Linked DNA regions of Lonchura striata. The protein of the gene in region 4 interacts with the protein of the main gene of each other region in a pairwise test. Links are inferred from orthologs where the notes say so. Each region holds a gene or a part of one and is shown on either strand. Other genes may lie near its edges. The genes, in order: MEAF6, SETBP1, RABAC1 and PLEKHF2.

Region 1 (7,381 bases), on a different chromosome or scaffold from region 4:
AGCGCCCTTGCCGTGTCTCTGGTGGCTCAGGCAGTGCTTTTGTCCTGCAGGCTGGTGGAGTACACCCGAGCTGATGGCACCGTGGGCCGCAGGGTGAGGCCCTACATCATCGACCTGGGCTCGGGGAACGGCACCTTCCTCAACAACCAGCGCATCGAGCCCCAGCGCTACTACGAACTGAAGGAGAAGGATGTGCTCAAGTTCGGCTTCAGCAGCAGGGAGTACGTCCTGCTCCACGAGTCCTCAGATAAATCTGAGGCCAACGCCAAGGACGATGATGAGGATGAGGAGAAGGAGGAAGAGTCTGACAGTTAACGGATGAGGAAGAAGCAGGGGAGAGGCAGAGGAGAGAAACTCCTCGTGGTTGAACGGGACTGGGATGTGAACACGGAGCATTGCAGCACTGATGCCTCTTGTTGCCTTAAAGTCTTTTCTGTGTTGCTGGTCTGTTCCCATAGTTTGTTTTGGGGGGGCTTTGCTCGTTATTCGTGTTTGATAGTTTTGCATATCAGGAAATACAGCTTTATTTTTATTTTATTTTTCTCCCAAGAAGCCGAAGAGCACCTGGATGTGAAAACTCTGGTGCTGGAAACCCTCCACAGATGTTGTCAGACTCTTCCAGCAAACCATGTCAAACACGGACAGCATCTGGAAAATTTTTATGACTTGTTTTGTTATATCCCTTTGAAAATGCTACAGACTGAAAGGTTATAGAGTACCTGATGCTCGTTCTTTTCCGTAGCTTGCCAAATTCCTCTGCCTGTTGGGAGTTCTGACAGGAGAATTTACCTGAATCACTGCTAAAATGGCAGAAATGTGCAAAGACCCTCATGAATTTGTATGTTTTGGGTATCTAATTTGCCTCATGGTTACTGAGGGATGGGCATTTCACTGGAATTCCACCTAGGAATCACAAGGGAATGTGAAACAGAAGTTAAATAATTCCTGGAATTTCAGGTGATGAGACTGTGACCCAAGTTCCCTGTTCCCACACATGATGCTGAAACTGTCCTGGATGTGGAGTGTCTGGGTTGTAAGCTAGAGCCCTAATTTCTACCCCCACCCCAGGGTTTGTGTCAGACAGAAACGCCTGTGACAGGGTGACGTGTTTTAACCAGTTTGCACTATTTAAGTTCTCTTTTTATAAAAACTTCCCCAAGTCCTTTGTTGAGCACAGTGAAGAAGTCAGTGTTCAGGGAGGAAGCACCAGTCCCACTCAGTGGGAGCTGCAGTTTTTGGTGTCTCCTCCAACGTTGCTTTATGTTCAGTGTGTATATCCCACCCTTCACTGATTTCACCTGGGTGTTTGTGGTCTCACCTGTTCGTCCCTGCTGTGTACAGACTGTACACAAAGGTGCTTGTTGTACACATTGACAGTGTAAATATGGGGCATTGCTGTGGGGTTTCAGATGGGTAGGATGGGGTTTGAGCAGGAGGAGCTCCTTTATATCTGCTCCAAGGGTTTTTAAATAAACAATTTGTAAATTTAGCCATGATTGCTTTCTGTTGTAATATTTTTCATTGGGTGTTTGGGGGAAAAAATGGGGGAAATGGCAATTTTTGGGAAAAAATTGTGGGAAATGGGATTTTTGGGAAGGAGTGACAGCGCCTATCAAAAGATTTGTTAAGCTCCGAATGGGAGGTGCCAGAATTGCTGTACTGCAAAAGGGCAAACTGGCCCCCAAACTGCAGAGGATCGGAGCGACACAGTTTAATAGGATCACAGAAAGGTTTGGGTTGGAGGTGTCAGGAAAACTAACCCACACCTGAGGGTTATGCCCAAAAAAGAGACAGAGGAGTCCTGGAACTTTATTCCAATAAAGGGAGAGGCCATGGGGCATTTCCCATCGAGTCTCTCAAGTTGTTAGAGGATGAAGCCTCCTTTTTATCCCAATTTCTCAGCCACATTTCCCTCTCTCTTTCCCCACTGGCTGAGGTATTTGAGAGGTACAAACTTCCCAATACAGACCCCCTTCTAATGTATACCCCCACCTTTTCCTTGTCAGTCAGTGGAATTCCTATAGAATCAATGCTTCTTCCCACTACTTCTTTCATCTCTCAATATCCAATTTTATTTATCAGCAGACCCACAGTAGATCTGTAAACACAAATCCCTCTCATTCCATTCATCAATCAGTGAAATCCCACTGCTGCTTTTACCTCAGCGCTAGTTTTACCTCCCCACAGTTGGTTTGTAAAGACAAATCCCTCATTGCTTTCAGAGGGACCCTGAAGACTGCAGAACCGGGGAATATGTGAATATCTGAATAGGGGAATATCTGAATATCTGAACTGGGGACTGTCTGAATGTCTGAACCGGGGAATATCTGAACTGGGACTACCTGAATCACTGGGTGGGCAGAACCACCGACCGTTCCCATTCCCATCGCTGCTGTCGCCACCACGTCTCTGTGGCTGTCTCTGTCACTGTTGCCGCTGCTGTCGCTACCGCTATCTCTGTCCCTGTCCCTGTCTCTATCCCTGTCCCTGTCTCTATCCCTGTCCCTGTGCCTATCCCTGTCCTGTCCCTGTCCCCATCCCTGTCCCTGTCTCTGTGTCCCCGTCCCTGTTCCTGTCCCTGTGTCCCCATCCCCATCCCTGTCTCTATCTCTGTCTCTGTCCTCTCCCTGTCCCTGTCCCCTGCCTCTATCCCTGTCCCCGTCCCTGTCCCTCTCCCTGTCCCTGTTGCTGCTGCTGTCGCTATTCCTGTCCCCGTCCCTGCCTCTGCCCCTGTCCCCTGTCCCCATCCCAGCCCCTGTCCCTGTGTCCCCGTCCCTGTCCCCCGTCCCTGTCTCTGTCTCTATCCCTGTCGCCGTCCCTGTCCCCATCCCTGTCTCTCCCCATCCCCCGTCCCTGTCCCTCTCCCCGTCCCTGTCTCTATCCCTGTCCCGTCCTCGTCCCTGTCCCTGTCTCTGTCTCTATCCCTGTCCCCGTCCCTGTCCCTCTCCCCGTCCCTGTCCCTCTCCCAGTCCCTGCCTGTATCCCTGTCCCAGTCCCCGTCCCCGTTCCTCTCCCTGTCCCTGTCCCTGTCTCTGTCTCTATCCCCATCGCTATCCCTGTCCCCGTCCTTGTCCCCGTCCCTGTCCCCATCCCAGCCCCTGTCCCTCTCCCTCTCCCTGTCCCCGTCCCCCGTCCCTGTCCCTCTCCCTCTCCCCGTCCCTATCTGGGTCCCTGTCCCCGTCCCTGTCCCCGTCCCCGTCCCCGTCCCTGTCCCTGTCTCTGTGTCTATCCCTGTCCCCGTTCCTGTCCCTGTCCCTGTCCCTGTCCCTGTCCCTGTCCCTGTCCCTGTCCCTGTCCCTGTCCCTGTCCCTGTGTCTATCCCTCTCCCTGTCCCTGTCCCTGTCCCCGTCCCTGTCCCTGTCCCTGTCCCTGTCTCTGTCTCTATCCCCATCGCTGTCCCCGTCCCTGTCCCTGTCCCTGTCCCTGTCCCTGTCCCCATCGCTGTCCCTGTCCCTGTCCCTGTCCCCGTCCCCGTCCCTGTCCCTGTGTCTATCCCTGTCCCTGTCCCTGTGTCTATCCCTCTCCCTGTCCCTGTCCCCGTCCCTGTCTCTGTCCCCGTCCCTGTCCCTGTCCCTGTCCCTGTCCCTGTCCCTGTCCCCATCGCTGTCCCTGTCCCTGTCCCTGTCCCTGTCCCCGTCCCCGTCCCTGTCCCTGTCCCTGTCCCTGTCCCCGTCCCTGTCCCCGTCCCTGTCCCCGTCCCTGTCTCTGTCCCTGTCCCTGTCCCTGTCCCCGTCCCCGTCCCTGTCCCTGTCCCTGTCCCTGTCCCTGTCCCTGTCCCTGTCCCTGTCTCTATCCCCGTCCCTGTCCCTGTCCCCGTCCCTGTCCCTGTCCCTGTCCCCGTCCCTGTCCCCGTCCCTGTCCCCGTCCCTGTCCCTGTCCCTGTCTCTGTCTCTATCCCCATCGCTGTCCCCGTCCCTGTCTCTGTCCCTGTCCCTGTCCCTGTCCCTGTCCCTGTCCCTGTCCCTGTCTCTATCCCCGTCCCTGTCCCTGTCCCCGTCCCTGTCCCTGTCCCTGTCCCTGTCCCTGTCCCTGTCCCTGTCCCTGTCCCCATCGCTGTCCCCATCGCTGTCCCTGTCCCTGTCCCTGTCCCTGTCCCTGTCGCCGCTGCTGTCGCTGCCGCCGCCTCCCCCGCGCTCCCGGCTCCGCAGCGCCCCTGGCGGCCGCCCGGCGCCGCCGCTCCCGGCTCCGCAGCGCCCCTGGCGGCCGCCCGGCGCCGCCGCGCCCCGCCCCGCGCAGGCCGCGCCGCCATGGCCGCGCTGCACGCCAAGGCCGGCGGGCCGCCGCAGATCCCGGACACCCGCCGGGAGCTGGCCGAGCTGGTGAAGCGCAAGCAGGAGCTGGCGGTGAGCGCCGGGGCCGGGCTGGGCGCGGGGCGGGCGGCGGCGGCGCGGCCGGGGCGGCGGCGGGGCCGGGCGGCGCGGCCGGGCCTGCTCCATGCGCGGCGGCGTTCCCGCAGGAGACGCTGGCCAACCTGGAGCGGCAGATCTACGCCTTCGAGGGCAGCTACCTGGAGGACACGCAGATGTACGGCAACATCATCCGCGGCTGGGATCGCTACCTCACCAACCAGAAGTGAGTGGCGGAGGCGCTGCCCGCCGGCCCGGGTCCCCCGCCCGCCGGCCCCGCCATCCCGCCTGTCTCTGTTTCAGGAACTCCAACAGCAAAAACGACCGCAGGAACCGCAAGTTCAAGGAGGCCGAGAGGCTCTTCAGCAAGTCCTCGGTCACCTCGGCAGCGGTGAGTGCCGGGATGAGCCCTGACCGCTGTGCTCACCCCTCTCCTTATCCCTGGCCCCATCCCTTTCCTTGCCCCCATTCCTCTTCCTGTTTTTTCCCCATCCCTCAGTCCTGCTGTGATCACCTGCAGAATTACTTCCCCATTTGCAATCCCATCCCTGCCCTGGCTCCCTGCCCTAAGCATCCCCATCCCAGTCTCCATTCCCATCCCTTTCCTTGCCCCCATTCCTGTTCCTGCTTTATCCCCATCCCACCCCTGTCCCTTGGTGCCTCAGTCCCGCTGTGATCACCTCCAGAATGACTTCCCCATTTGCAATCCCATCCCTGCCCTGGCTCCCTAAGCATCCCCATGCCACCCTGCAGCCCCTTCCAGAGCCCTTTCCCAGTGTTTGGGGTGGGAGGGTGCCTGTGCCTGCTGTCACCGCTGTCCCCTGGCTTTGTCACCAGACCCCCGGTGCCACACGGGGCCATGGGCATCAGAGGGACGTGTCTGTGTGAGCTGGGCTCCATGCTTTGAGCACTGGGAAGTGAATCCCTGCTTGGCTTGACATCCCATTTGGTTTCCCAGGCTGTCAGTGCGTTAGCTGGAGTCCAGGACCAGCTCATTGAGAAGCGTAAGTCCCTTCATCACTTTTCTCTGAATTTGGGAAGAATTACACTGTCCCCCACCATTCAGCCCTGTCTCAGCCTTCCAGATCTGGGCTGGGGTCTGGCTCCCCTTCCCAATCCCTGTGTCTGCTGCCCTCGGGCTGCTCCTGTTGACTTCCCAAGTTCTTTCCAGGCTCAGAGGGCTTTGTTGTGTGTAAAAGGGACTGGAATTGCTTTGGTGCTGTGTGGAGGAAGAGGCTGGACGAGCTGAAGCACTGCATCTGTAGATGTGTCAGTCACAGGAGACCTGGGGAGGGACCACACACCCCCAGGACACTGAAAAAACGTTTTTGTGATCAGCACCAAAGGGGATGTAGTTCCTCAGTGCTGAGGAGCAGCTTCCTGTGTGTCCTGCAGGGCTGTGTCCCAGGCTCTGTGATTCACCTGGTGCTGCAGGGCTCAGGTGCCTCTGCTGCTGTGCTGGGGTTGTTTCTCCCACTCAGGGCTGTGCCAGGAGCTCACCCTGGTGCTCACCTGGCTTTGTCCTGCTCTAGGGGAGCCGGGCAGTGGCACAGAGAGTGACACTTCTCCAGACTTCCACAACCAGGAGAATGAGCCCAACCAGGAGGATGCTGAAGAGCTGGATGGCTCCGTGCAGGGTGTGAAGCCCCAGAAAGCTGCTTCCTCCACTTCCTCTGGGAGCCACCACAGCAGCCACAAAAAGAGAAAGAACAAAAACAGACACAGGTCAGTGGGACCAGCAGCCTGCTCACCACACCTGGACAGTTGGCTGGGGCTGGATTGAATTTATTGCCTGAGGGGAACCAGTAGCACGTTGGAATAACCAACAGGCAGCTGGGGTCAGTTGTTTGGGTGTTTTTCCTGGTTTTGGAAGAGGAGGGGAGAGTGCCAAGGAAGTTAAACAAGCAGCACAGGGTGCTCACTCCAGCTGTGGCACAGCTGTGCTTCTGGGCAGCTTCTCCAGCTCTTCCATCTCTCCAGGATAAAGCTTGTTCCTTCCATCAGGTCCTGACCTCCTGAGCTTGCTGCTTGGTTTCTGTAGGGCAGGAATGTTAGTGCTTTCTTTGAAGGAGGGTGGAAAGCAAATGGGAATATTTTTGGGGTTTTGGACACTCCCAGTGTCTGGATTTCCACTGCAGCCCCTTCCAGCTCTCACATCCCTATGGAGTCTCAGTGCTGGCATAGAGGAGTTGCTGTGTCACCTTCACCTGAGAGTGTTTGTTATTAAACTGACCTGAAATTTATGTGAAACAGATTCCTTGAACTCTTTTCTGGTTGGATTTACCTGTCCAGCTCTGCCCCTAAGGTGTCATGAGGGCGATGAGCTGGTCCCTGTGCCCTCAGCCCAGGCTCTGGCAGTGACAGTGCCTGTGAGTCAGGCCCTGAGGGAGGAAAGCTGAGGAGAGGAGATACATGGAGCTGTCTGGAAGGATTGCTGAAGCTGGGGCCTAGGGATCTCACAGAAGTAATGGAGCTTTTAAAACCCTCTAGTTTTAAAAGCTCTCAGAGCCAGTCTGTGCTGGCTCTGAGCTGTTGCCTCTGCCTAGGGACAGGCTCTCCTCTTTAAGGGACCTGCCATGCAATTAGAGAAAGGATTTAAAGTGGTAAAAGTTTAAAAGGGGGGCTGGGGTAGTTGGGGTGGGGACACGAGGTAGGTACAATGCTTGAAAAATGCTTAACTCCTTTTTTGCCTTCATTAAGTGTTGAGTCATTAGTGTGTCTTTAATTCTTGGGTCAGAATTTCCTTCCTACAGCAGCTTGAATTGGGCAAATATCCGAAAGGACTGGATGTCCCTTTGGTTCCCCATGGGCTGGGAATCCAAAGAAGTTCAAATCTCTTTTTTTGCCTGTAGATATTTGGAAGAAGTTCAGGAATAACACAAGAAACTACATCCGTGAACAAGTCCAGAGAAACAACCTGTAAAACTGAAGTACAGCTTAAGAAAACTGCCATTTCAAACAAATTATAAAATATTCTCCCTGGACAAACCATGGCCAACAACATGGTGGGGTGCAGGGCAGGTGCTGGAACTGAC
Region 2 (7,618 bases), on a different chromosome or scaffold from region 4:
AAGCAACTTCGGTAAAGAAACCAGTATATATCAAATCAAGCTAAATAGCTCAGTTATGACCATTATTATTAATAAATCATGGCCACTGTTTCTTTTGTTTGCCAACAACCAGCATAGCTTATGGCTCTGCACAAACCTAACACACCATTTTATAGCATTTCAAAAAGTGCATCCTCCTAAAATGATAATGTGTTAATAATCTGTGCTGGGCTTTTTGGCAGGAATCAAAAAGCTCAAACGACTTGAAATAACATCAGCTAAAAATTATTTATTCCCCATCCCTAGTTGCAGAGAAAACAGAGGTTTTCTTGGCTCAGTTACTTCTCAATAGACTTCTGGTTTCAATTAAAACTTTGAGTCTGAGAAGTTTAAAAAAAAAAAAGTTGAAGCCAATAAGAGATGGAAGAGAAGTCTCCATTCACTGAGTGTTTCTGCTTTTGTTTTTTTTCCTATTTTTACATAACCCTTCTGAGCTAAGAGGCTAAGAGCACAGATTAAAGTACAAGTCCATTGTGTGGATGTTTTTTTTTTTTTTCTCCTTTCAGCTAAAAAACAAATTAAGATGAAAAAAAGTTTCTCCTTTGAGTGCAAGCAGCTTCTGATGAGGGGCATAATCTCAGCAAAGACTGAGTAAGTGCAGAAAGCTGTGCATAAAACTGACACTTTAACATTTTCCCATGAATGTGTCCAGTCCCTGGAAATGTTCAAAGACAGGCTGGATGGGGCTTAGAGCAGCCAGATCTAGGGGAAGGTGTCCCTGCCTTGAGGGAAAATGTGACTGGGATGAGATGAGCTTTAACATCCCTTCCAACCAAAACATTCTATGATTCTATTATTCCCTGATAAGAATATTTTTTTGCTGTCCATAAAATAGGGTCCACTTGTTTCCTCAGGTTCATGCTGTCGCTACTTGTCTCTACGCACCTGATAATGCCATTTCTGTAGCCTGCACCAAGTCAATCCTGCATGCAGGGGCTTTCAAACCAGTAATCGTTCCCATTTGGACCCATAATATTCCACACAGGACTAGATTTGCCAGTAGCCTTTTCCTCCTTCCATCCACACCAGGAGGCTCAGATGTTCTCACGCACAGCAGATCACTGACCAGTTCTGCCCTCTCCTCTCCCCACTCTTCTGCATCTCTTTGCTGTGTGGCAGATGGACATAGAAGGACACCCCCACCCCAGAGTGGGGCCACTGCGGGCCTGTGGCTAATGAAACACCTCTGTACACCGGTGGAACAGCCTGCCAGGCTCCCCTCCCCTCCTCCCTTCGTCCTCCCACTCCCCCCAGAGCCCGGTTGGGTTAACCCGGCTCACGGCAGCCGCGGGGACACCGCCACCCCACGGTACCGGAATGAGTGGGTACTCCCCTCGTATCTCCCCTCGCATCCCCCGTGTGCATCCCCCATGCACCAGCCACCTCATCACCCCTCCCGAAGCCAGGGGAACCTGCCCACTGGGGGTGTCCGAGTCGGGGTGTGCCCTGTCTCCCCCCGCCTCCCCGGGTTGGGCTCCGGGCGGCCAAGTGCCTTTTCAGCATCAGGCGTCAGGCCCGGGATTATCGGGGCCGTTTATTTGAAGCGGAAACGAATCGGAAATCCTTCTCTCAACTGCTTTTTGGAGACATAAATACAGCAGGAAGGGGCAGCGCGGGGAGCGCCGTGCCCGGTGGGGCGGTGGGATGCTGGGATGCAAACACACGGACACGCTCACGGCTGACACACACACTCACTCACACTGACACACGTTCCCACCTGGGGATTCAATAAGGGGTGCGGGAGACCCCAGTTCCCCTTGCCCTCCGGGGAAACCCGGCGAGGAAGGGGTGTGAGTGTGAGTGCGAGTGCGAGTGCCCGGCGCCGGGCAGGAGCCTTGCGCCAGGGCTGGGGTTGACAATAGCAGCCCGAGGTTGCGGGCTTCGTGTTACCCCCTCTTCCCCACATCACCCCGCAGCCCGACGATACCGGCGGTGTTCAGCCTGCCCATAGCTGAACTCCGCGTCCGCCCGTTGTGGGGCACAAGGGGCCATCAGGGTCCCGAGGGCGGCAATCACCGGCTGATTAAGAACCATTATCCAGCCACCGAGCGTGGTGGGGGTGGCGGCAGAGGGGGTGTCCCTCTTTGCTAATTACTACCCCCCCACCCCGTCCTCCCATTTCGTTGTTCCCCAAAATCGCAGCTTTTCGGGGCTGCGTGTCCTTTTCAATGTCAAAAGCACGGCGGGGCCACCCCGGGGCAGCGGCGCCCCCCGGTTCACCCGCGGAACGCGGCCGCGGAGCCCCGTGCACACACACGCTCACACTCACACTCACACACACACACACACACACACACACACACACACACACACACACACGCAAATCCCCATAAGGTTACAGTGTTGCTCTCTAGCTCCACTTAACCTGCAATTTACGAAGCGGGGGGGTCGTGTCTCCCCCCCCCAGTTTCCACAGGCACACACATAGCAGCCACCTACGCATATAAACACATGTAGGCTACCAAAGCGGGGGGCCGGCAGAGGGGGTATATGGCGGGGGTGCGGGGGAAATAAATACATTATTCAAACTCCTGAAAAAAATTCCAACCCCTTCCTAGTCTTACACACACCACCGGTACCCCCCACCCCACGAGAGCCACACACAGATACGCACACATGATCCTAAACAGGCACAAAGCATGGGGAGGGAAGGGGTTGGAGGGGACGGGGAAGAGGATTCGCATGCAATGCACAGAGGAGAAATATTCCCCCCTCCCCCCCCAAAAAAAAAAAAAAAATAAAGCCCTTTTCCGCGCCATTGCAAAGTCATAACAGAGAGGAGGGGAAAAAAGAGAAAAAAATAAAGTAAAAAAAAAAGGGACGACATTAACTTTTGCATGCAGAAGGGCGAAAAATAAAAAAAAAAAAAATAAAAAAAAAAGGAGGGTGAAGGAAAAGGAGAGAGGCGTACGATCCTCCTGCAATCCCGATCATTAAGGCAAACCTTTCCTCGATGCCTCAGAATTTTGGTTCCCTTTTTTTTTTTTTTTTTTTTTTTTTTTTTTTTTTTTTTTTTTTTTTCCCCGCATTTACTAACCCATATCCCCAAAACGGCAGCGGGGGCTTCTTAGCAGCTTCCTCTTCTTCTTCCTTCTTCCTCCTCCTCCTCCTCCTCCTCCTCCTCCTCGGATTTCCCCCCTTCTTGTCTCTTCTCTTTTAGATCCCGGTTTCAATCCCTCGCCACAGCCCCCAAAGGTGCTTTTGCTTGTGTTGCGGCAAACCCATGGCGGTGTTCATCTGTCAGATGGGGATGAGGGGAGCGCCCGGCCGCGCAGCGCACGCAGAGCGCAGAGGGAGGAGGGAGGGGGGAGGAGGAAGGCACCGGGGAGAGGGAGATGGACGGACAGACAGACGGAGAGACAGCTCGAGAGATAAAAGATAGATAGAGAGGGATAAATAGAAGGAGATAGAGCGAGAAAGGGGGGAAAATGGCGTCTTGGAAAGCCGGAATCCCGGAGTAAATCAAATTGACACGCAACACCCAGAGCAGTCCCGGCTAATTTTAGCAGGATCCAAAATAAAATGAAAAGGAAAAAAGGGGGGTGAGTAGGAGGAGAAGGGGGGGACAGAGGGGCGGGGGGTGAAAGAAAGGAGGAGGGGGTAAGAAGGAAAAAAAAGAGACCAAAAAAAAAAAAAAAAAAGAAGCCCCTCAATACTGGATGAAATCCTGGATTTGAAATCGATGGAGCTGGTCTCCAGCTCTCTCTTTTTTTCTTTTCCTTCTTTTAATTTTTTTTTTTTTGAGGGGGGTCTCTTTTGCTCTCTGCTTCTTGTTCTTGGTTGGTTGGGAGCCTTTTTGCAGGGGGGCGAGGTTGCGGGGAAGCCTTTTCGGTTTTGCTTTTCCCGGCGAGGAGTTTCAAAAATATTAAAAAAAAAAAAAAAAAAAAAGGAAGAAGAAGAAGGGAAATTAAAAAAAAAAAACAACCGATGAAAAAAAAAGAATAAAAGAAAGAAAAGGAGCAAAGCCCCGCCAGGAGAAAAGGGCTGCTTGGCGGCGGCGAGGAAGCTTCCCTTTATCCCTGCTCTCCCTGGGCTCCGGAGCGGGTGCCGGAGCTCCGGCGGGCTGCGGGGCTGCGGCCGCCCGCCCCGCTCCGCTCCGCTCCCCCCGCGCCGCCCCGCGCCGGGCCGGGGGAGGGCGAAGGGAAGGCGGAGGGAAAACACCCCCTTCCCCTGATGGGGCCGGAGTCGGTGCTCGCACACTCGCACAACACACACACACACACACCCGCATCCCCTTCCCCGCTGAGAAAGGGTGCGCCGAGGGGCGGCTTTTTGCTCCCCCGCTGGATTTTTCCTTTCTCTGTCTTTTATTTTGTCTTTTTGGTCTGGTTCCCCCCCCTCCCCCCTCCTTTCCCTGCAAGGGGCGGCGATTTGGTTAAGCAGATCTGGGGGGCTGATGTCTCTCTCTTTCCTCTGTTTCCATCGCTCCCGGAGTATTGCAGCACTGGGGGCGGGGGGAGGAGGAGAAGTGTGGGGAATAAATGGTAATGATCAGGCACGCACACACACACACACACGCACACACACACACACACACACATACACACCCGCTCTCACACACACTCACACACGCAGACACGCACTCGGCGTGGCTGCAATGCTCAGCTCCGGGTTAATGTACTCAACAGTGCCACTACCTGACACAACTGCAGCACTGATGGGGGCAGGGGAGAAAAGGCAGAGGAGGTGAGATTCAGGGCAGGGCCATTTATCCCATTTATCCCACTTCAAGCTCAGTCTCTCCCACGCCCTCCCAGCCGCCCCCCGCCAGCCCCCCATATGCTTTTGGCGGCGGGCTCGTGACCCGTGTGAGGCATTTTTGGGGGACAGTTACTGCTGTTCAGGCCACGCTGAGAATTCCCTCTCTGGGGCTGGACGAGATAAGCAAGGACTCTTGACCCCTAATTTAAGGTCTAAATCCACTCCCCCACCTCCATCACCTTTCAGAATGGACCAGTAGCAATGTACAAAATACAACACAAACTCAGCTGCAGGCCAGTGGGGAGCGGTGCGAAATCCACATTGTTGGGCTTTTTCTTTCCCACCCTTGCTCTGCCAGCAATCTGGATGATACTGCATTTTGGTCTGCCAGCTGGGCATACCTTTACTCACATGAGTAAATTGTTGGCTTGCCTGAGATGATGAGGAGGAACCCCCAGAGGAGGAAAGACTTGTGAAATGGAGCTGTGGAACTGTACTTATAAATGAAGATAACATTCCAAGGGCAGGAGGGGGAATATAGGGAGTATCCTACTGTGTTCCGCTGCATGTTTGATCCCTTGCAAAGATGGTGCCACAGGGTTCCCTGTCCCAGTGTGCTGCAGGAGGCTCAAAGAACATCAAGTCTCCCCTCTTTGCTCTGGGACAGAGGGTGGCTTCAGGCCATCATCCTGAGTGACCTGAATTCAGTGTGCAGCTGATGCAAGGGTTGACCCTTACCTGCCATGGAAGCTTATTCATACATCATAGAATCTTAGAATTTTTTGCCTTGGAAGGGATGTTAAAGATCTTGTCCCACCCTGTGCCATGGTCCGGGATACCTTCCACCACCCCAGGCTTCTCCAAACTCCCATCCCACTTGGATTTGGGCACTTCCAGGGATGGGGTAGCCACAGCTTCTCTGTGGCCAACAGCCAGGGCCTCGCAGCCAAGAATTTCTTCCTAGTATTCAATCTAAACCTGCCCTCTTTCAGTCTGAAGCCATTCCCCACTCCAGTCCCTTGTAAAAGTTCTTTTCTAGCTCTCTTGGAGCACCTTTAGGCCCTAGAAGGGGTTCCCTTATAAAGGCCTTCTCTTCTTCAGACTTGAAAGCTGCATCTCTCTCACCCTGTCCCTTTAGGAGAAGCAACAGACCTACAACACAGGTTGCAGTCTAACCCCAAATAGGTGGAAGAAATTTGTGGGCCCCAAGATGCCAGCACAGCCCTCCTGGACCATCAGCAGACTCAGTCACCTGGGTGAGTATGTGCCCTCAGCCCTGCTGCATTCCTGGGAAAAAATCTTAAGTAAAAACCACACCAAAGCATCACTTCCCTTTGGATCTCTCCATGTGGCTGACATCCTCCAAGATACGTACAAATCCCAAACATCTGAGCTGAGGTACAGCAGCCTGTGCCTGTCCTTCCCTCATGGTCTTTTCCTCATGCTTCTCTCCAATAGGAGAAAACAGATGAATTGGTAAAATACACAAGAAACCTCCAAAATGACGACCAACAGATCAACCCCATCTCCATCCCAAACAAACATGCGACTCACAACTCTTGGATCGGGAATGTCACACTGAAATCGTTGGCATTTCTGATTGAAACCAAACAGGGATTGTCATTTCCAATCCGCTCTTTGACATGGAAGAGAGGCTTGTTTGTTCAAATTAAATCACCCAACTGGAGCTACATTTTGTCATTTTGTATCTAAACAAAAGGAAAAAGAAACAGATTCAACATTTCTTGGCAGAGCTGGTGGTGACATTTCCTGTGAAGAATTCTGGTTTTGAAATGAAAACTTTTGGCAGGTGAACTCTGTATCAAAGAGCTCCGCTGACCATCATCTTTCTCCTTGGAATAAGCTGACAAACAGTTATGAAATAATTGGCATGATTAGATTAACACAGAAAACCTAATTATGGAATCAAATACTCAAAAAAAAAAAAAAAAAAAAAAGAGAGAGAGAGAAAGGGAAAAAAATTATCACATTTGCTTCCCCTTTTCTAGAAAATAATATTTTTATTATATACAGTAAATTTAGGATAAAAAGTATTCTGTGAGCCTTTTCTCTTTTTATTTTTAATTTATTTACTTCTGGAGAGGATACATATACATAAACAAATGTATTTAAACAGCCCCACAAAAAATAATTTCAAAGTGAGTTCAACTTAGGAAGCAATAGAGATAATGGCTTATTTAATGCTCACTTTGAAAACATGGCAGAATATAAAGAAATAAAAAATACTCAGACCTAGCAAAGGGAGTTTGTGATTCACCCAAAGTTATTTTTAGGCCTGTTATGTATAAATTTAAAAACAAAATCACACCTGGTTACTTTTACTTGTGGGCATCAAATTCTGTCAGGATAAATTTCATAAACAGAAAAAGACCCATCCTTTTGAGTGGTCATTGTGTAGGACACGTGTGCATAAATCACTGTGGATCAGCACTGACATCAAAGGTATTCTGACCTGTGATTTTGTCTTCTAGTTCTAGAAAATTTTCCCTCTTTTAAACAACCTCCTCCCTCTGTCTCTGCTGTGTGTCAAGGATTTCAATCTAAGTGGATAATCTCAAAGAGGAAGTTTCTCCTCTTTGTTCTTTTAACTTTAAAAAAAGTATGATGGCATTCATAAAGTTGGTTTAGTTCTGCAGCAGACCTGAGATGAGTTTCCTATTTGTGCCTAACAGTCTACATATAACCTTGACTTCATGAGACAGATGTTTTGTAGTGAAGGACATGAGTTTCTTATTTTTATATAAATAGCATATTAAGTTAGATATCTATATGACTCTCCTTAAGTTCAAGGTATAAATTAAACCTATGCAGAATTATTGGGTGATTTGTAAGTCAATGTAAAAGATACAAAAAAATT
Region 3 (7,876 bases), on a different chromosome or scaffold from region 4:
CCATCCCAGTTCCTCCCAGTCCCCTCCCAGTTCCTCCCAGTTCCCTCCCAGTTCCCTCCCAGTTCCCTCCCAATCCCTCCCAGCTCCCCCCCAGTCCCTCCCAGTATAAACCAGTCCATCCCAGTCCATCCCAGTTCCCTCCCAGTTCCCTCCCAGTCCCTCCCAGTAACTCCCAGTCCCCTCCCAGTCCCTCCCAGTATAAACCAGTCCCTCCCAGTCTCACCCAGCAGCACCAGCGGCGTCTCCCGGGCCCGGAGCCGAACGGCGACGCCGAAAAAAACCCCGAGAGCGACGAGGAGCAGCGGGGAGCTCAAACTGGGAGAACTGGGAGTTACTGGGAGCACTGGGAGCTCAAACTGGGAGCACTGGGAGGGACTGGGAGCACTGGGAGCTCCAACTGGGAGCACTGGGAGTTACTGGGAGCACTGGGAGCTCCAACTGGGAGAACTGGGAGTTACTGGGAGCACTGGGAGCTCCAACTGGGAGCACTGGGAGTTACTGGGAGCTCAAACTGGGAGCACTGGGAGGGACTGGGAGCTCAAACTGGGAGCACTGGGAGGGACTGGGAGCTCAAACTGGGAGCACTGGGAGTTACTGGGAGCACTGGGAGCTCCAACTGGGAGGGACTGGGAGCACTGGGAGCTCAAACTGGGAGCACTGGGAGTTACTGGGAGGGACTGGGACAAACTGGGACAAACTGGGACAAACCGGAACAACGCCACAAAACCCCCCAAAAATTCCCAAAAATTCCCAAAAAATTCCCAAAATTCCGCAAAATTCCCCAAAAATTCCCGAATTCCCGAAAATTCCCAAATTCCTCACAGGCAGCAGGCCAGCAGCGCCAGGAACAGCAGCAGGGAATTGCTGGGGAACAATGCCCCAAAAATGCCAAAAAATCCCCCAAAAACGCCCTGAAACCCCCCAAAATCGCTGTAGAACCCCCGAAAAATTCCCCAAAAATTCCCAAAAATTCCCAAAAATTCCCAGAATTCCCGAATTCCTCAGAGGCCGGAATTGCTGGGGAACGATGCCCCAAAAAACCCCCAAAAAATCACAAAAAATCCCCCAAAAACGCCATTAAACCGCCCAAAATCGCTGTAGAACCCCCGAAAAACTCCCCAAAAATTCCAAAAAAATTCCCAAAAATTCCCATAATTCCCGAATTCCTCAGAGGCCGGAATTGCTGGGGAACGATGCCCCAAAAAACCCCCAAAAAATCACAAAAAATCCCCCAAAAACGCCCTGAAACCCCCCAAAATCGCTGTAGAACCCCCGAAAAATTCCCCAAAAATTCCCAAAAATTCCCAAAAATTCCCGGAATTCCCGAATTCCTCACAGGCAGCAGGCCAGCAGCGCCAGGAACAGCAGCAGGGAATTGCTGGGGAACAATGCTCCAAAAATGCCAAAAAATCCCCCAAAAATGCCATTAAACCCTCCAAAATCGCTGTAGAACCCCCGAAAAATTCCCGAAAAATTCCCAAAAATTCCCAAAAATTCCCAAATTCCCAGAATTCCCGAATTCCTCAGAGGCCGGAATTGCTGGGGAATGATGCCCCAAAAAAACCCCAAAAAATCACAAAAAATCCCCCAAAAATGCCATTAAACCCCCCAAAATCGCCGTAGAACCCCCGAAAAATTCCCAAAAATTCCCAAAAATTCCCGAATTCCCGAATTCCTCACAGGCAGTAGGCCAGCAGCGCCAGGAACAGCAGCAGGTAGTTGCTCTGGAACCTCTCGGCGTTGTGGCCCAGGCGCCGCCAGAGCTCCCCCAGATTTTGGGGGACCCCGAAGCGCCGCTGGTCCAGGAAGGAGCCCCAGGGCCGCAGCCCCGCCCGGCGCGCCCCCAGCCAGCGCCAGGCCCAGCCGGGGGGGGACAGCCTGGGGGACCCAAAATCGCCAAAATTCACCCCAAAATCCAGCCCAAACTAACCCGAAAAACCCCGGCCCCAAAACAGCCCAAAAACACCCCAAAACCGCCCCAAAATCCACCCCAAAATCCACCCCAAAATCCACCCCAAAGCTGCCCCAGGGCCCCCAGCCAGCGCCAGGCCCAGCCGGGGGGGACAGCCTGGGGGACCCAAAATCGCCGGAATTCACCCCAAAATCCGGCCAAAACTAACCCGAAAAACCCCGGCCCCAAAACACCCCAAAAACACCCGAAACTGCCCCAAAATCCACCCCAAAATCCACCCCAAAATCCACCCCAGGGCCCCGAGCCAGCGCCAGGCCCAGCCGGGGGGGGACAGCCTGGGGGGGACCCAAAATCGCCGGAATTCACCCCAAAATCCAGCCCAAACTAACCCGAAAAACCCCGGCCCCAAAACAGCCCAAAAACACCCAAAACTGCCCCAAAATCCACCCCAAAATCCACCCCAGGGCCCCGAGCCAGCGCCAGGCCCAGCCGGGGGGGGGACAGCCTGGGGGGCGACCCAAAATCGCCAAAATTCACCCCAAAATCCACCCCAAACGAACCCAAAAAACCCCGGCCCCAAAACACCCCAAAACCCCCCAAAACCGCCCCAAAATCCACCCCAAAATCCACCCCAAAATCCACCCCAGGGCCCCGAGCCAGCGCCAGGCCCAGCCGGGGGGGGACAGCCTGGGGGGGACCCAAAATCGCCAGAATTCACCCCAAAATCCCCCAAATCCCCCGAAAATTCCACAAATCTCCCCAAAATTCCCCAAATCCCCCAAAACTCCCCAAAATTCCCCAAATCCACCCAAATCTCCCCAAAATTCCCTAAATCCCCCAAAACTCCTCCAAATCTGCCAAAATCTCCCCAAAATTCCCCAAATCCCCCAAATCTCCCCCAAATTCCCCAAAATTCCCCAAATTTCCCCCAAATTCCCACAAATCCCCCCAAAAGTCCCCAAATCCCCCCAAACTCTTCCAAATTCCCCAAAATTCCCCAAATCTCCCCCGAATTCCCCAAAATCCCCCAAATCTCCCCCAAATTCCCACAAATCCCCCCCAAAATCCCCAAATCCCCCCAAAACCCCCCAAAATCCCCAAATCTCCCCAAAACCCCCCAAAATCCCCAAATCCCCCCAAAATCCCCAAATTCCCCCAAATTCCCCCAAATCCCCCCAAAACCCCCCAAAATCCCCAAATCCCCCCAAATCCCCCCAAATCCCCAAATCCCCCCAAATCCCCCCAAAATCCCCAAAATCCCCAAATCCCCCAAATCCCCAAATCCCCCCAAATCGCCCCAAAATCGCGCCCCTCACCTGCCCAGCCCCCCCCTGGGGTCGCTCTCGGCCCCCGGCGGCTCCTGGGGGGGGGGCGCGGCCTCGGCCATGGCGGCGGCTTTGGGGAGAAACCGCGCGGTTTTGGGCAATTTGGGAAATTTGGGGAGAAACCGCGCGGTTTTGGGAATTTTGGGGAGAAACCGCGCGGGTTTGGGCAATTTGGGGAGAAACCGCGCGGTTTTGGGCAATTTGGGGAGAAACCGCGCGATTTTGGGCAATTTGGGGAGAAACCGCGCGATTTTGGGCAATTTCGGAAATTTGGGGAGAAACCGCGCGGGTTTGGGCAATTTGGGAAATTTGGGGAGAAACCGCGGGATTTTGGGCAATTTGGGAAATTTGGGGAGAAACCGCGCGGGTTTGGGCAATTTGGGGAGAAACCGCGCGGGTTTGGGCAATTTGGGAAATTTGGGGAGAAACCGCGCGGTTTTGGGCAATTTGGGGAGAACCGCGGGGTTTTGGGAAATTTGGGGAGAAACCGCGCGGTTTTGGGGGGATTTTGGGCAATTTGGGGAGAACCGCGCGATTTTGGGAAATTTGAGGAGAAACCGCGGGGTTTTGGGCAATTTGGGGAGAAACCGCGCGGTTTTGGGCAATTTGGGGAGAAACCGCGCGGTTTTGGGAAATTTAAGGAGAAACCGCGTGGTTTTGGGAAATTTGGGGAGAAACCGCGGGGTTTTGGGCAATTTGGGGAGAAACCGCGCGATTTGGGGGGATTTTGGGCAGAAACTGCGCGGTTTTGGGCAATTTGGGAAATTTTGGGGAGAAACCGCGGGGTTTTGGGAATTTTGGGGAGAAACCGCGCGGTTTTGGGAAATTTGGGGGATTTTGGGAAATTTGGGGGATTTCGGGGAATTCTTAAAGGTTTTTGGGGTCGTTTCGCAGATTTTGGGTCCCGCGGGGGATTTGGGGTCCCGGAGAGAATTTTTGGGGTTAAATCTGCAGATTTCGGTCCCGCAGAGGATTTTGGGGTCCCGGGGGGATTTTGGGGTTAAATTCGAGGATTTGGGGTCCGGGGAGAAATTTTGGATTAAATCCGCGGATTTTGGGTCCGGGGAGGATTTTGGGGTTAAATTCGCGAATTTTGGCGTCCCAGGAAGGATTTCGGGGTTATTCCGCTGATTTTGGGGTTAAATCCGGTGGTTTTGGGGTCCCGGAGAGGATTTAGGGGTTAAATCCGTGGATTTTGGGGTTATTCCGCTCATTTTGGGGTGAAATCCGCGGATTTTGGGGTCCCGGGGGGATTTCGGGGTTATTCCGCTGATTTTGGGGTGAAATCCGCGGATTTCGGGGTCCCGGGGAGGATATCGGGGTTATTCCGCTGATTTTGGGGTGAAATCCGCGGATTTCTGGGTCCCGGGGGGATTTCGGGGTTATTCCGCTGATTTTGGGGTTATTCCGCTGATTTAGGTGTTATTCCGCTGATTTTGGGGTGAAATCCGCGGATTTCGGGGTCCCGGGGAGGATTTCGGGGTTATTTTGCTGATTTTGGGGTGAAATCCGCGGATTTCGGGGTCCCGGCGAGGATTTCGGGTCCCGGGGAGGATTTCGGGGTTATTCCGCTGATTTTGGGGTTAAATCCGGTGGTTTTGGGGTCCCGGGGAGGATTTCGGGGTTATTCTGCTGATTTTGGGGTGAAATCCGCGGATTTCTGGGTCCCGGGGAGGATTTCGGGGTTATTCTGCTGATTTTGGGGTTATTCCGCTGATTTTGGGGTGAAATCCGCGGATTTCGGGGTCCCGGGAAGGATTTCGGGGTTATTCTGCTGATTTTGGGGTGAAATCCGCGGATTTCGGGGTCCCGGGGAGGATATCGGGGTTATTCCGCTGATTTTGGGGTGAAATCCGCGGATTTCTGGGTCCCGGGGAGGATTTCGGGGTTATTCCGCTGATTTTGGGGTTATTCCGCTGATATCGGGGTTATTCCGCTGATTTTGGGGTGAAATCCGCGGATTTCGGGTCCCGGGAAGGATTTCGGGGTTATTCCGCTGATTTTGGGGTGAAATCTGCGGATTTCGGGGTCCTGGGGAAGATTTCGGGGTTATTCCGCTGATTTTGGGGAGAAATCCGAGGATTTCGGGGTCCCGGGGGGGATTTCGGGGTTATTCCGCTGATTTTGGGGTGAAATCCGCGGATTTCGGGGTCCCGGGGAGGATTTCGGGGTCCCGGGGAGGATTTCGGGGTTATTCCGCTGATTTTGGGGTGAAATCCGCGGATTTCGGGGTCCCGGGGAGGATTTCGGGGTTATTTTGCTGATTTTGGGGTGAAATCCGCGGATTTCGGGGTCCCCCCGCCCCCGTTTCCATGGGAACCGCCCCCCCTCACCTGAGCCCGGAACCGCGGGAACGCGTGGCGGGGGCGGGGCCACGCAATGACGTCACAGTGGGTGGGGCTACCACCGTATGCAAATTTGGGGGCGTGGTTATGTCCATATATGGTTGTGGGCGTGGTCTAGACGCGCGTTTGCGAATTTTAACGAGGTGGGCGCGGTTTAACTGCCAGTATGCAAATTAATGGGCGTGGCCACGCCTTATATGGCAATGGGGCGGGTTGTGGGAGGGGCTATGCCCTTATATGGATATGGCGGAAGTTCGGGCTCCGTTTTGGGGGGGGAAAAGGGGAATTTTGGGGGCGAAACGGGATTTTGGGGAGAAAAAGGGGATTTTGGGGCAGAAGAGCGGATTTTTTGGGGGAAACAATTGGGTTTTGGGGGAGAAAGGGGAATTTGGGCAGTGAAAGGGGGAATTTTGGGGTAAAAGGATTTTTTGGAGGTAAAGGGGATTTTGGGGGGAAAGGGGGAATTTTGGGGGGAAAAGAAGATTCTTGGAGAAAAAGGGGATTTTTGGAGGGAAAAGGGGAATTTTGTGGGGAAAGGGAATTTTTTGGGGGGAAAAGGGAATTTTTTTTGGGGGGAAAAGGGGATTTTTTGGGCGAGAAACGGCGTTTTGGGGTGCAGAAAGGCCATTTCTGGGTAAAAAAGGGCGATTTTGGGGATAAAGGGGGGGAAATCGGCGCTGTGGGGAAAAGCGGGGTTGATTTGGGGCAAAAACAAAAAAAAAAACGGAATTGGAGGGTGAAGAAAAGAATCAAAATTTCCCAGCCCCCTCCCCAAATTCCCAGCCCCCTCCCCAAATTCCCAGCCCCCCCCCATCCATCACCCGGCGCCGCCGAATGCAAATTCCCCAAATCAAAACATTTTACTCGTAAATGGGCCCGAACTAATTAACTCAAGTGTTAATTAACGCCGCGCCGCCGCCGCCATCCATCTTCGGGGGGGGGGAGGAATTGGGGAGGGGGGAGTTGGCGGGGGGGGAGGGAATGGATGTGGGGGGGGGAGATGGTTTGGGGGTCCTCGAGTTGGGTTTGGGGGTCCCTGACCCGACTTGGGGGTCCCTGGGGGGATTTTGGGGGTCCCTGACCCGAATTTGGGGGTCCCTGGGGGGATTTTGGGGATCCCCGGGCGGATTTGGGGATCCTCGAGTTGGGTTTGGGGGTCCCTGACCCGACTTGGGGGTCCCTGGGGGGATTTTGGGGATCCCTGACCCGAATTTGGGGGTCCGGGGTTGCTTTTGGGGGTCCTCGAGTTGGGTTTGGGGGTCCCGGTGTTGGTTTTGGGGCTCCCTGACCCGATTTGGGGGTCCCTGACCCAAATTTGGGGGTCCCGGTTTGGCTTTGGGGGTATCCGACCCCTATTTGGGGGTCCCAGGATTGGTTTGGGGGTTCCCGGGGGGATTTTGGGGGTCCCAGAGGGAATTTTGGGGGTCCCCGGGGGGATTTTGGGGGTCCCTGAGGATGGCGGGAGTCCTTGGGGCGATTCTGGGGGTCCCGGAGGGAATTTTGGGGGTCCCCGGGGGTGTTTTGGGGAGGGGTCTCTCGGGGGTGGGTTTCCCCGTCCTCATCCCCGGGGGTTCCGATCCCGGGGGTCTCGCTGCCCCCCCGGTGCCCCCGGGGACCCCAGCCCCATTTCCCCCCGGTGCCCCCAACCCTTCCGGGGACCCCAGCCCCATTTCCCCCCGGTGCCCCCAACCCTCCCGGGGACCCCAGCCCCATTTCCCCCCGGTGCCCCCAACCCTCCCGGGGACCCCAGCCCCATTTCTCCCCGGTGCCCCCGGGGACCCCAGCCCCATTTCCCCCCGGTGCCCCCGGGGACCCCAGCCCCATTTCCCCCCGGTGCCCCCAACCCTTCCGCGGACCCCAGCCCCATTTCCCCCGGTGCCCCGGGGACCCCAGCCCCATTTCCCCCCGGTGCCCCCCAACCCTTCCGGGGACCCCCAGCCCCATTTCCCCCCGGTGCCCCCAACCCTCCCGGGGACCCCAGCCCCATTTCCCCCCGGTGCCCCCAACCCTTCCGCGGACCCCAGCCCCATTTCCCCCCGGTGCCCCCAACCCCCCAACCCTCCCGGGGACCCCAGCCCCATTTCCCCCCGGTGTCCCCAACCCTCCCGGGGACCCCAGCCCCATTTCCCCCCGGTGCCCCCCAACCCTCCCGGGGACCCCAGCCCCATTTCCCCCCGGTGCCCCCGGGGACCCCCAGCCCCATTTCCCCCCGGTGCCCCCGGGGACCCCCAGCCCCATTTCCCCCCGGTGCCCCCCAACCCTCCCGGGGACCCCAGCCCCATTTCCCCCCGGTG
Region 4 (8,247 bases):
GGTGGTGGCTCCTCCATGAGTGTCATCCTCCATCCTGAAATGGCTCTGCCACAATGGGATCTCATTACCACAACCTTTCCGCTGGCAAAGCCATCCGTTAGTGCCAGAAGTGTTCCAACAACTGAGGTAAAAGAAAAATACGATTTTCATTCACTGGTTTAGTAAATTTTCTTCAGTTCCACATAACCATTTCCACCAATCCCTCAAAAAGGACAAGCTTTTAATGAAAAGATGCTGATTTGCAAAAGCCTCATTTTAAGACATTAAATACAGATAATACAATACAGAGCTTAGGCTGATTTCAAGCTTAGTGAATTGTTTTAAATTCTCATTTAAAAATAATCTGAAATTCACTAGCACTGAATTACTACTTCTCAGGTTCAACGAAGGTGTCACAGCAAGTTAAGTAGGTTGTGGTCTTCTTTTCACAAAGATCAAGCACCTTCCTGATGACGTGTCTTGGGACATGTCTTGATGACAAGACATTAACCACCTATGAACCTGGTTTTGTTTGCTGGTGTGTATGGGAGCAAGAACATTGATCTCATTCAGGAACTGAAGGTCACATCTGGTAGGCCTACAAAGAAAACAGGAACACTGATATCAGGAAAACAGCACTGTTTGTAAGGGAAAATACATGAAAAACATGGTTACAAGACCACTGGAACTGGTTAGTTTGGAGTTTTTTTGAGGGGGATGGTGGTGCTTTGCAAAATATTCTTGTTTGCATTATTAATATTTCCCAATACATCCCAAGATTTCCAGACCCCCAAGACCCCACTGGAAAAGGAAACACCGACAGTCCCATTTCAGTGGAAGGACCTGACAAAACATGAAAAAGAATTTCTTCTTGACCACAGAAAATTAGTTACAACTCAGACAGAACATGTGGCATGTTTCAATCTTACTTACTCAAATAATGAATGAAACTTTCATTCACATTCTCCTACCCATTCACTCAGGCAGTTGACACCATTTCTCATAAAAAAGATTACTCCCCTGTTACCCTGGCTACATTCATTAGCAGCTGCACAAGCTACCAGAGTCTTTCCAGTCCCTGGTGTACCATAGAATAGGAAGTCTCTGCAATTAAAAAAAAAAAAATCACACAAGAAAAAATCTTAATGGAAAAGTGTCTATTATAACCCCCATCCCTAAAGAACACAGCTCTCCTTAGCAAAACACTTCATGGATAACAAACACAGCAGTAACAGCTAAAGTGTGAGAAAAGTCAAAAAGGGCTCCTACACAATTCAACAAGGCAGCAAATGAAATTAATAAAGAGGATAATGTACAAAACATTGAGAAGAGATAGTAACATCCCAGAAGGACACATCCAAAAGCTGTGACATACCAAGAGGGGTGGGTACAACACAGTGGAGCCAAACAAACTTCCAGTGCAGAAGCTGAGACCAGGATAACTTAGAAATCACCTGTTCTGCATATTCATTCTCGTTTTCACAAAAGGCAAGATTTGAGAATAAAGCATTTAATTGTCCCTTAAATAGCTTTAAATTTCTGGGTTTGGTCTCCCTTTGCAGGTACTAAAGAAGTAACCTAAAGCTGGGAAGGTATTCTGCATTACCATCTACTAGAAAAACCAAGATGCTGCTGCTTCAAAATATATTTCATTTCATAAAGAAGCAAAAGACAAAGATTTTCTTTTCATTGTTTGTAATACTTTCTGAAGTTACTGAAAGCAAAGCATTTAAAGTCCCATTTGAATATAACATGACTGAATTTTGCTGACCAAAAATATATAATGTTAATGAAATCTCTAGGAATTTCATTTTGTAACACAGAACTCGGCTGTTACTCCTCTGTAAGAAGTGGACAGATTCTTATTTTAGCTCAAGCACAACAAAGACTGCAAGGTTCTAATTGCAAGTTCTGTCAATTTTTAAACTGATTCTTGAGCATTTGAAAAAAAAAAACAAAACAGTTTGTGGGAGAGACAAGTGGGCTTCCATGAAGCAAATTACAGTTGACTACCAGTAGGTAATTCATTGTACATGAAACTCTAAAGGAAAAAAAATCTCCAACTGCAGCTTTTAAAGGCAAGCCACTTTTAAAGAATAATCTCACTTGACAGTAAATCTCTGAACCTACATATATGCTGGTTTTCATCATTTCTTAAAATACTGCTTTTTAATTTTCTTAAAACTATGTTTTACTACTGCTAAAAAAACCCCCATTCAACAGTGCTGAAAATTTTGGAGCATTTTTGTATATTAAACAAAGCTACAACCTCAATAATGTTCCATCAGAATTTCAATGTCAGCACAAAGGAAAGGTTCACAGCAATTTTCAAATTGCTTGAGAGAAACCTGTAAGCCAAGGGAGTTGTAGATAGTCCATTATTGGAAGCTTTCATAAATAGTGTAAATGTCTCACTGATATGTTGAAGTAAAAATCTTACTGAAACAACTATTTGCATTAGCTCAACATCAGACAGATTTACTTCAATTTTCATGTGATCCCTGTGAAGATTTGAAGTGAAAATGCAAGCTGTGTGCAAACAGTGTCCATTCAAAAATCATAAGGCAATTGAGGAAGCACAGTATAAGACAAGTGCTGCAGCGTATCACTGCTATTTCATATTTTCTGAAGAAGGTATTTCCTCCACACTTAAAGCACAGCTCTGGCATAACTGACAGTAAGATTATAATTAGAGAGCAGAAATAAATGTCATTTTAGACAAGCTATGCTTTGGAATAAGTTTTTTTTCAGCTAAATTAAAATTACAAATAATCACTCTATGTGAAATAGTAAAATACATTAGTGTCTATTTCTTCCAGTAGAACACCCCATGATCTCCCATCCTTTTCCTTCCATGCATCTTCTCTATGCAGTTAGTTTTTTGCAAGATTGCTTCTGCAGTACTAAGATACAAATTTGACATGTAAGAGCAAAGATAGATAAATACAAAAAACTCTATTGAAACTGACACACATGATCTGTAATGACATTTTGATATAGTGAACACACAGCAAGAATTACTGGCATTTAGCCAAGTTTTTCAAAACTACTTAAAAATTAGGTCAAGTGTTTACTTTTTTTATACATACTTAGGAAGAAGTGTTTGCGGATTTGCAAACGGACCGTTTTCATATTTATTTTCCCCTCTTGCTAAACAGAGTAAAAAAAGAATTCTGAAGATATAGGAAGTTAACAGAAAAAAATTATGGCAGGCTTTCACAGCACTAAAATTGCTTTGCATGATAACATTTTGTTTCCAGCTTTCCTCAGACAACAGGTTACTTATTCTCTTAACCGGAGTTAAGGTCTTGTGCTGATTTTCCATTACTATACATGGTAGAAAGAGCATCTCACTGCTGTTACACTTTGTAAACCTTTCAGAAAACAATGTCAGTTTGCACTTCAGGAAGAGAATTAAAACACAGATACGCAGACAGAAACACTAGGACTGCTTCACTTTGCCTGTATCCAACTTTCTGCTGCATCTTAATTCAACTGGGTGTTATAAAATTATTTGTAAGCATGAAAGAAAAGTTAATTACCCACAAAGCTGCTTCTGATGCCAAGAAAATTGATTTAGATGATAAGTTAAATCTACAGAAGTTTACAACACAAAGAGAAAGGTTCACAGCAATTTTCTTTTTGGTTCACAAGAACCAGGCCAGCCCATACATAAAAGATCCTCTGGTGTGAAGATCTCTCTGCAACTGACAACAGTTGAAAATGAAGACACTTGTGGCCAATTTATATATTGGCTGTGCCCGAATTCTTTACATATGAAGCACTGGCCTAATACACCCTGCTGCATGCAATCTGAGATTTGTGGCTTAAGCCACAAGCACCTGTTTCCAAAAAACTCATGTTAAACGGCTTGGCCCACACCTTATATAAATCAGTGCATTAAGAGTAATTACATGACAGCTCAGGCTGACGCACTGGATGGATTTGAGGGAAAACTGGAAGACTAGATTGTCATGCTGTAGGGTGCTCAGAGCTCCATGTCCTGCTCCTTGCTCCCTTTCTGTGTGCCTCTTCTGCAGCAGGAGAAATGCAGCTCAGTGATGTGGCTCTTGCCTGTGTCCCTGTCTGAGCTGGGGAAGAAAATTCAGCTGAAAGTTCAGCAGTTTCATGATTTCTACTGGAAAGCCCCACTACCTATTTTTAATCTGCAGAAAAGCCAGACATGGTATTGCTCAATAATGTGAAATTTGAAAAATGAAACTGCCATATAGCATGTAAGTGAAATTTTCTTGGGGAGAAAAAAAAAAAAAAAAAAAAAAGGCAGCCCATTGGGCCATTTTCCAGTGCAGACTTTAGTATCAGAGCAACACCATCGAAGTTAATGGTGCTGTACCCTTTTATCTCCTCTTGCTCCACTCTCTTCAGAACCTTCCCAGCCACCCTTCCCCTCTGACAGCATCCATCATCGGCTGGAAATCCTGGAGGACCAGGTGAGCTGCCGAGCAGCCGGCTAGATTTGAAAAATACTGCTCTGGATGACTCAATGTGTACACACAAAAAACTCTGACACAGAAGGTGGAAGGGGCTCCTTGTGTTGACAGCGTTTCTGGTGGAAACTCTTCTAGGCTGACGAACAACTCCTCAGACTGAAACATGTCACTAATTCCCTTCCATGTGCTGCGTAGAGAGAAGTGCTTAAAAACGTGCCCATCCTGAATTACCTCTGGGCGAGCTTACTTAGAGCCACGGGCGCGCACACAGACCCGCGATCGCCCACAAAGAACGTCTCTCAAACATCCGCAGGAGGTCGGTGGGGAGCCGGCAGCCTCCCGCTCCCACGAGGCGCCGCCCGCGGGCCGGGCCGGGCCGGGCCGCTCCGCCCTCCCGCCCAGGGCGCTCCGCGGGCCGGGCCGGGCCGCTCTTCCTTCCCGCCCAAGATGGCGGCGGCCCCGCCCCGCCGGGCGGTGTCCCGGAGCCCGTCCCACGGCGTGGGGTGTATGACCGCGCCGTGCGGCGGGGAGGGCAGGCGGCGGCCGGAGCGGGGTGTGCCGGGTGAGCAGCGCTGTCCGGCCGCGTTCTGGGCGCTCGGGGATGGCTTGGGTCGGGGCCGGCCGGGCAGCGAGAGGGAAACTTTCCTCGCGGAGCCCTCCTCCGCCGGGACTCCGGCCGCTCTCTCGCGGCCATGTTGGGAGCCGGGGGCTGCCCGGGAGGAAGGAGCGCCCCGGCGGGAGGCGGCGCTGGGCTCCGCTGTCCCGCCCGGGGCTGGGGCAGCGCCGCGTCCCGCCGGCAGGGAGGCAGGCGGCGGGGCGGGCAGGACCCGGGGAGGGAAGCGTCGGCCGCGGGCGCTAGCTTGTCCCAGGGCACTGAGAGAGTTGGGGGCTCTCGGCAACGAGTTCGTCTTCGGGAAAGGGGAGAAACAACAACGGCGGCGGCCCCGCGGCGTTACGTAAGTGCCCGAAACTCCTGGACTCGTGACTCCGCCGGGGCGCCGTGAGGCGGCGGGACGGGCGGGCGGGCGGAGGGCGCTTCCTGCCCCGGCGGGCTGGGGCCGCGCTGCCCCGAGCCTTGGCGGCCCGGGGGGCTCCGTGTCGCTCTCGGAGCGGGGCGCCTGAAAAGTGTTGGCACTGTTGTGAAAAAACAGCGGAACCGCGAGCCGTGCGGCTGCGAGCATAAGGTGCTATTTGTTTTCCTCTATGAAATTCACCTATTTTGAGGGGAGTGTAACAGGTCTGCCAGAGATACGTATGGCCCGTAAACTGTTTTCTGAAAGTAGCTCGAGAAAAGACAGCCGCATGTTTTTCCTCTCGCCTCATTCGAAATACTTTGTTCATAGGCACTCATGTTTATAAATGGCAAAACTGCTCATCGCGGCGAGAAAGCGATGGGTGATTCTGCTGAGCAGCACGTCCTGGCATCGGCTTTGTCCCTACTGAGGGAAATAGCTGTAACTCGAGTTTTGACATAAAGCATCAGTGCAATGGTTGTTGATAGCCAAGAGGACCTTTTATATCCTTAACCAGAGATCAGGAATCGTCTTTTGGCTGAATTGATGCAAATGGTTCCAGAAGCATCATTAAGTTCTAATTCAGGCTGTCCTCAGGCTGTGCTAAGAGTTTCTGAAAGGGTTGATGCTTATTTGAGAAACACTATATCTGAAGCTTCAATGTGCCTAACAGCTTAAGGTCAGATGAGGTTAATACAGTAGGCAAAGTGACTCTAAAAGCAGACCCACAACACAGGAATCTTTCAGAACCGAGACTGCAAATTCCTCTTTCTCTCATGAAATAAGGAGAACTTAAATATCCAGATCTTAAGTTCTGATACTTGTCTATTGAATTATTTTAGGGATGCCTGTCTGAAAGAAGGGAAGTATTTAAAAGACAGCAGTGTAATCGGTGCTGAGATCCTGCAGATTAATTGCTTTGTGTGCCGTCATCAGCATGCAGAATGGAATTGGTTCTTTAGCTCAGAAGGCAGTGCTCTTGCTTTTAGCCTCTAATCTAAAAACTGTTGACTAATCCCAATGGGTAATAGGAATCCCAGTGTTGTAAAATGTCTTTTATATTAGCTCAGTTTCTTAAATAATACTTTTCCAAGTGTTTTAGTGCCACCAATTTTGTTGAAAACAACAGTGAAAGTGAAGTGTTGTATGCCTGAGTCCCAAATTCTTCCTTCTGAATGCAAATCAGCTGTGTGCCGTTTGATGTGTCTGAGTTTTGCTCTACATACAAGCCCACATAGAGGAAGTTCCTTAAACACTAAATAAAAACTGTTATGTAGAAATTTTTAGCTGGAGAAGCTGGTTCAGTTTCCACCGTTGTATTCTGTAGAAAGAGAATACCATCTTTTCACCTGAAAAGCAAGCTTTCATTAGATGCAGTGATGAAATATTTTTTCAGTAAGAGCTTTGTTCTGTTACCCTTAAGTCAAGGGATGAGCTTTAACCATAGTAAATAGACATGTCCCCAGAGTGACAGATCTATCCATAGTATCTTAAAGCGCTTTGGTTTACAAAAATTATCATTGGTAAAATATTTGCTCTACTCAAAAGGTATGGTGACTTTTAAGTTTCACTATTGTGCTTAGTGGATGCAGGATAGTTTCAGAGCAGTAAAGAGATGGAACTGCAATTTCACGTGAGGCATGATATGACAGAGCATTGCCAAAAGCCCCATGAGAGCCGTTATGGCAGAATACGAACACTGGTGTCATACACTTACAGCATTTTTAGTGGCTTGTCTTCGCCAAAGAGGGCTAGAGGTGTTTAAGTGAAAGCTTAGGGTCAAGGCATGGCACATAGATAAGGCAGAGTTGAATTTTTTAGTACTTGCAGACCTCATTTTCTGAAAATGTATGTTAGATAAAATGTTGGAAGTTGTGTCCTAGCAGACTAATGGCATGCCAGTTTTTGCGCTTATTAATGGGCGATGTCAAATAAGGAAATCTCAGTACTAACAAATAATATGATTCTTAGAAGATGGTAGGTAAAAATAAAAAATTTTTGATTTTTGTACTAGGAAATGAAACCTTGTTTTGTACAGCTTCAAATCGTAAAGGCGCTTTTGTGACTTATTTCAAGCTGTGTTAATATTCAAGCTTACTTTTTTCCATTTAATTTTTTTTTAAGTTACAGATCATGCTTATATATGTATATTTTACTACTTTCCTGACTTAATTCAGTATTTAGATGAAAGTATGATATTCCAAAAGAGAGTACTTACAGGCAAATGTGGATTTCTGAAATAGAAAAATGTATTAAAAACTTTCTCCCTAATGCAGCAAGTGCCAAGTTTGGTGTTGTAGGATAATTTTTCATGATTCATTGGAGGACTTGTTTTTATAGTTGAGGGGGATGAAAAAGTACTCTATAGATAGGTGTGGTAGAATATGTTTACTAAAGATTGCTTTATTGTTGTTGTGAACTGTAAGATATGATTACATTAGCAAGTAGAGTCCTGCAAATTCAGGACTGCAAGAATGAGTCAAGTGGAAATGAGTCTGTACACATGAGAAGTGGCTTGATTGAGACTTGTACGACAGAGATTCTCCTTTTATGAAAATAAATACTACTGTGCAGAAGTGTTATTGAACAGAAGAGTACTGCATGTTTTTCAGCCTGCCACTTTAATGCTACACAGTCAAAAATGCACACATGTTGACTTTAGTTGCATTCATAGGTAAGAGGACTGCTTCTTTGGATATAATATCTTTTTTTTTTTTGGTCATTTGGTTGGTTTTGGTTTTTTTTTTTGCTTATTAGTGATTGTAAATAATGTAAGGATTTTAAAAATAAAGTGAGTGACTTTC

The links.
Region 1: the proteins of PLEKHF2 (region 4) and MEAF6 interact in binary tests that used the Homo sapiens proteins (3 or more experiments, as listed by UniProt). The two-hybrid records come from large-scale screens. The link is inferred for Lonchura striata from reciprocal best matches to the Homo sapiens genes PLEKHF2 and MEAF6.
Region 2: the proteins of PLEKHF2 (region 4) and SETBP1 interact in binary tests that used the Homo sapiens proteins (3 or more experiments, as listed by UniProt). The two-hybrid records come from large-scale screens. The link is inferred for Lonchura striata from reciprocal best matches to the Homo sapiens genes PLEKHF2 and SETBP1.
Region 3: the proteins of PLEKHF2 (region 4) and RABAC1 interact in binary tests that used the Homo sapiens proteins (3 or more experiments, as listed by UniProt). The two-hybrid records come from large-scale screens. The link is inferred for Lonchura striata from reciprocal best matches to the Homo sapiens genes PLEKHF2 and RABAC1.

The regions. Positions count from the first base shown.
Region 1 is NC_134628.1:4,680,815-4,688,195, reverse strand, and holds the start of MEAF6 (chromatin modification-related protein MEAF6), read left to right. Parts: upstream 1-4,225; 5' UTR 4,226-4,247; coding exon 4,248-4,343; intron 4,344-4,456; coding exon 4,457-4,572; intron 4,573-4,649; coding exon 4,650-4,737; intron 4,738-5,304; coding exon 5,305-5,350; intron 5,351-5,878; coding exon 5,879-6,071; intron 6,072-7,198; coding exon of another isoform or gene 7,199-7,223; exon of another isoform or gene 7,224-7,381. Other genes in the region: SNIP1 (smad nuclear-interacting protein 1), read left to right, coding at 51-315.
Region 2 is NC_134642.1:45,897,442-45,905,059, reverse strand, and holds the start of SETBP1 (SET-binding protein), read right to left. Parts: upstream 3,295-7,618; 5' UTR 3,077-3,294; intron 1-3,076.
Region 3 is NC_134639.1:279,066-286,941, forward strand, and holds the start of RABAC1 (prenylated Rab acceptor protein 1), read right to left. Parts: upstream 3,300-7,876; coding exon 3,229-3,299; intron 1,879-3,228; coding exon 1,681-1,878; intron 316-1,680; coding exon 224-315; intron 1-223. UniProt on the Homo sapiens protein: General Rab protein regulator required for vesicle formation from the Golgi complex. May control vesicle docking and fusion by mediating the action of Rab GTPases to the SNARE complexes.
Region 4 is NC_134603.1:23,857,051-23,865,297, reverse strand, and holds the start of PLEKHF2 (pleckstrin homology domain-containing family F member 2), read left to right. Parts: upstream 1-4,879; 5' UTR 4,880-4,992; intron 4,993-5,206; exon of another isoform or gene 5,207-5,386; intron 5,387-8,247. UniProt on the Homo sapiens protein: May play a role in early endosome fusion upstream of RAB5, hence regulating receptor trafficking and fluid-phase transport. Enhances cellular sensitivity to TNF-induced apoptosis.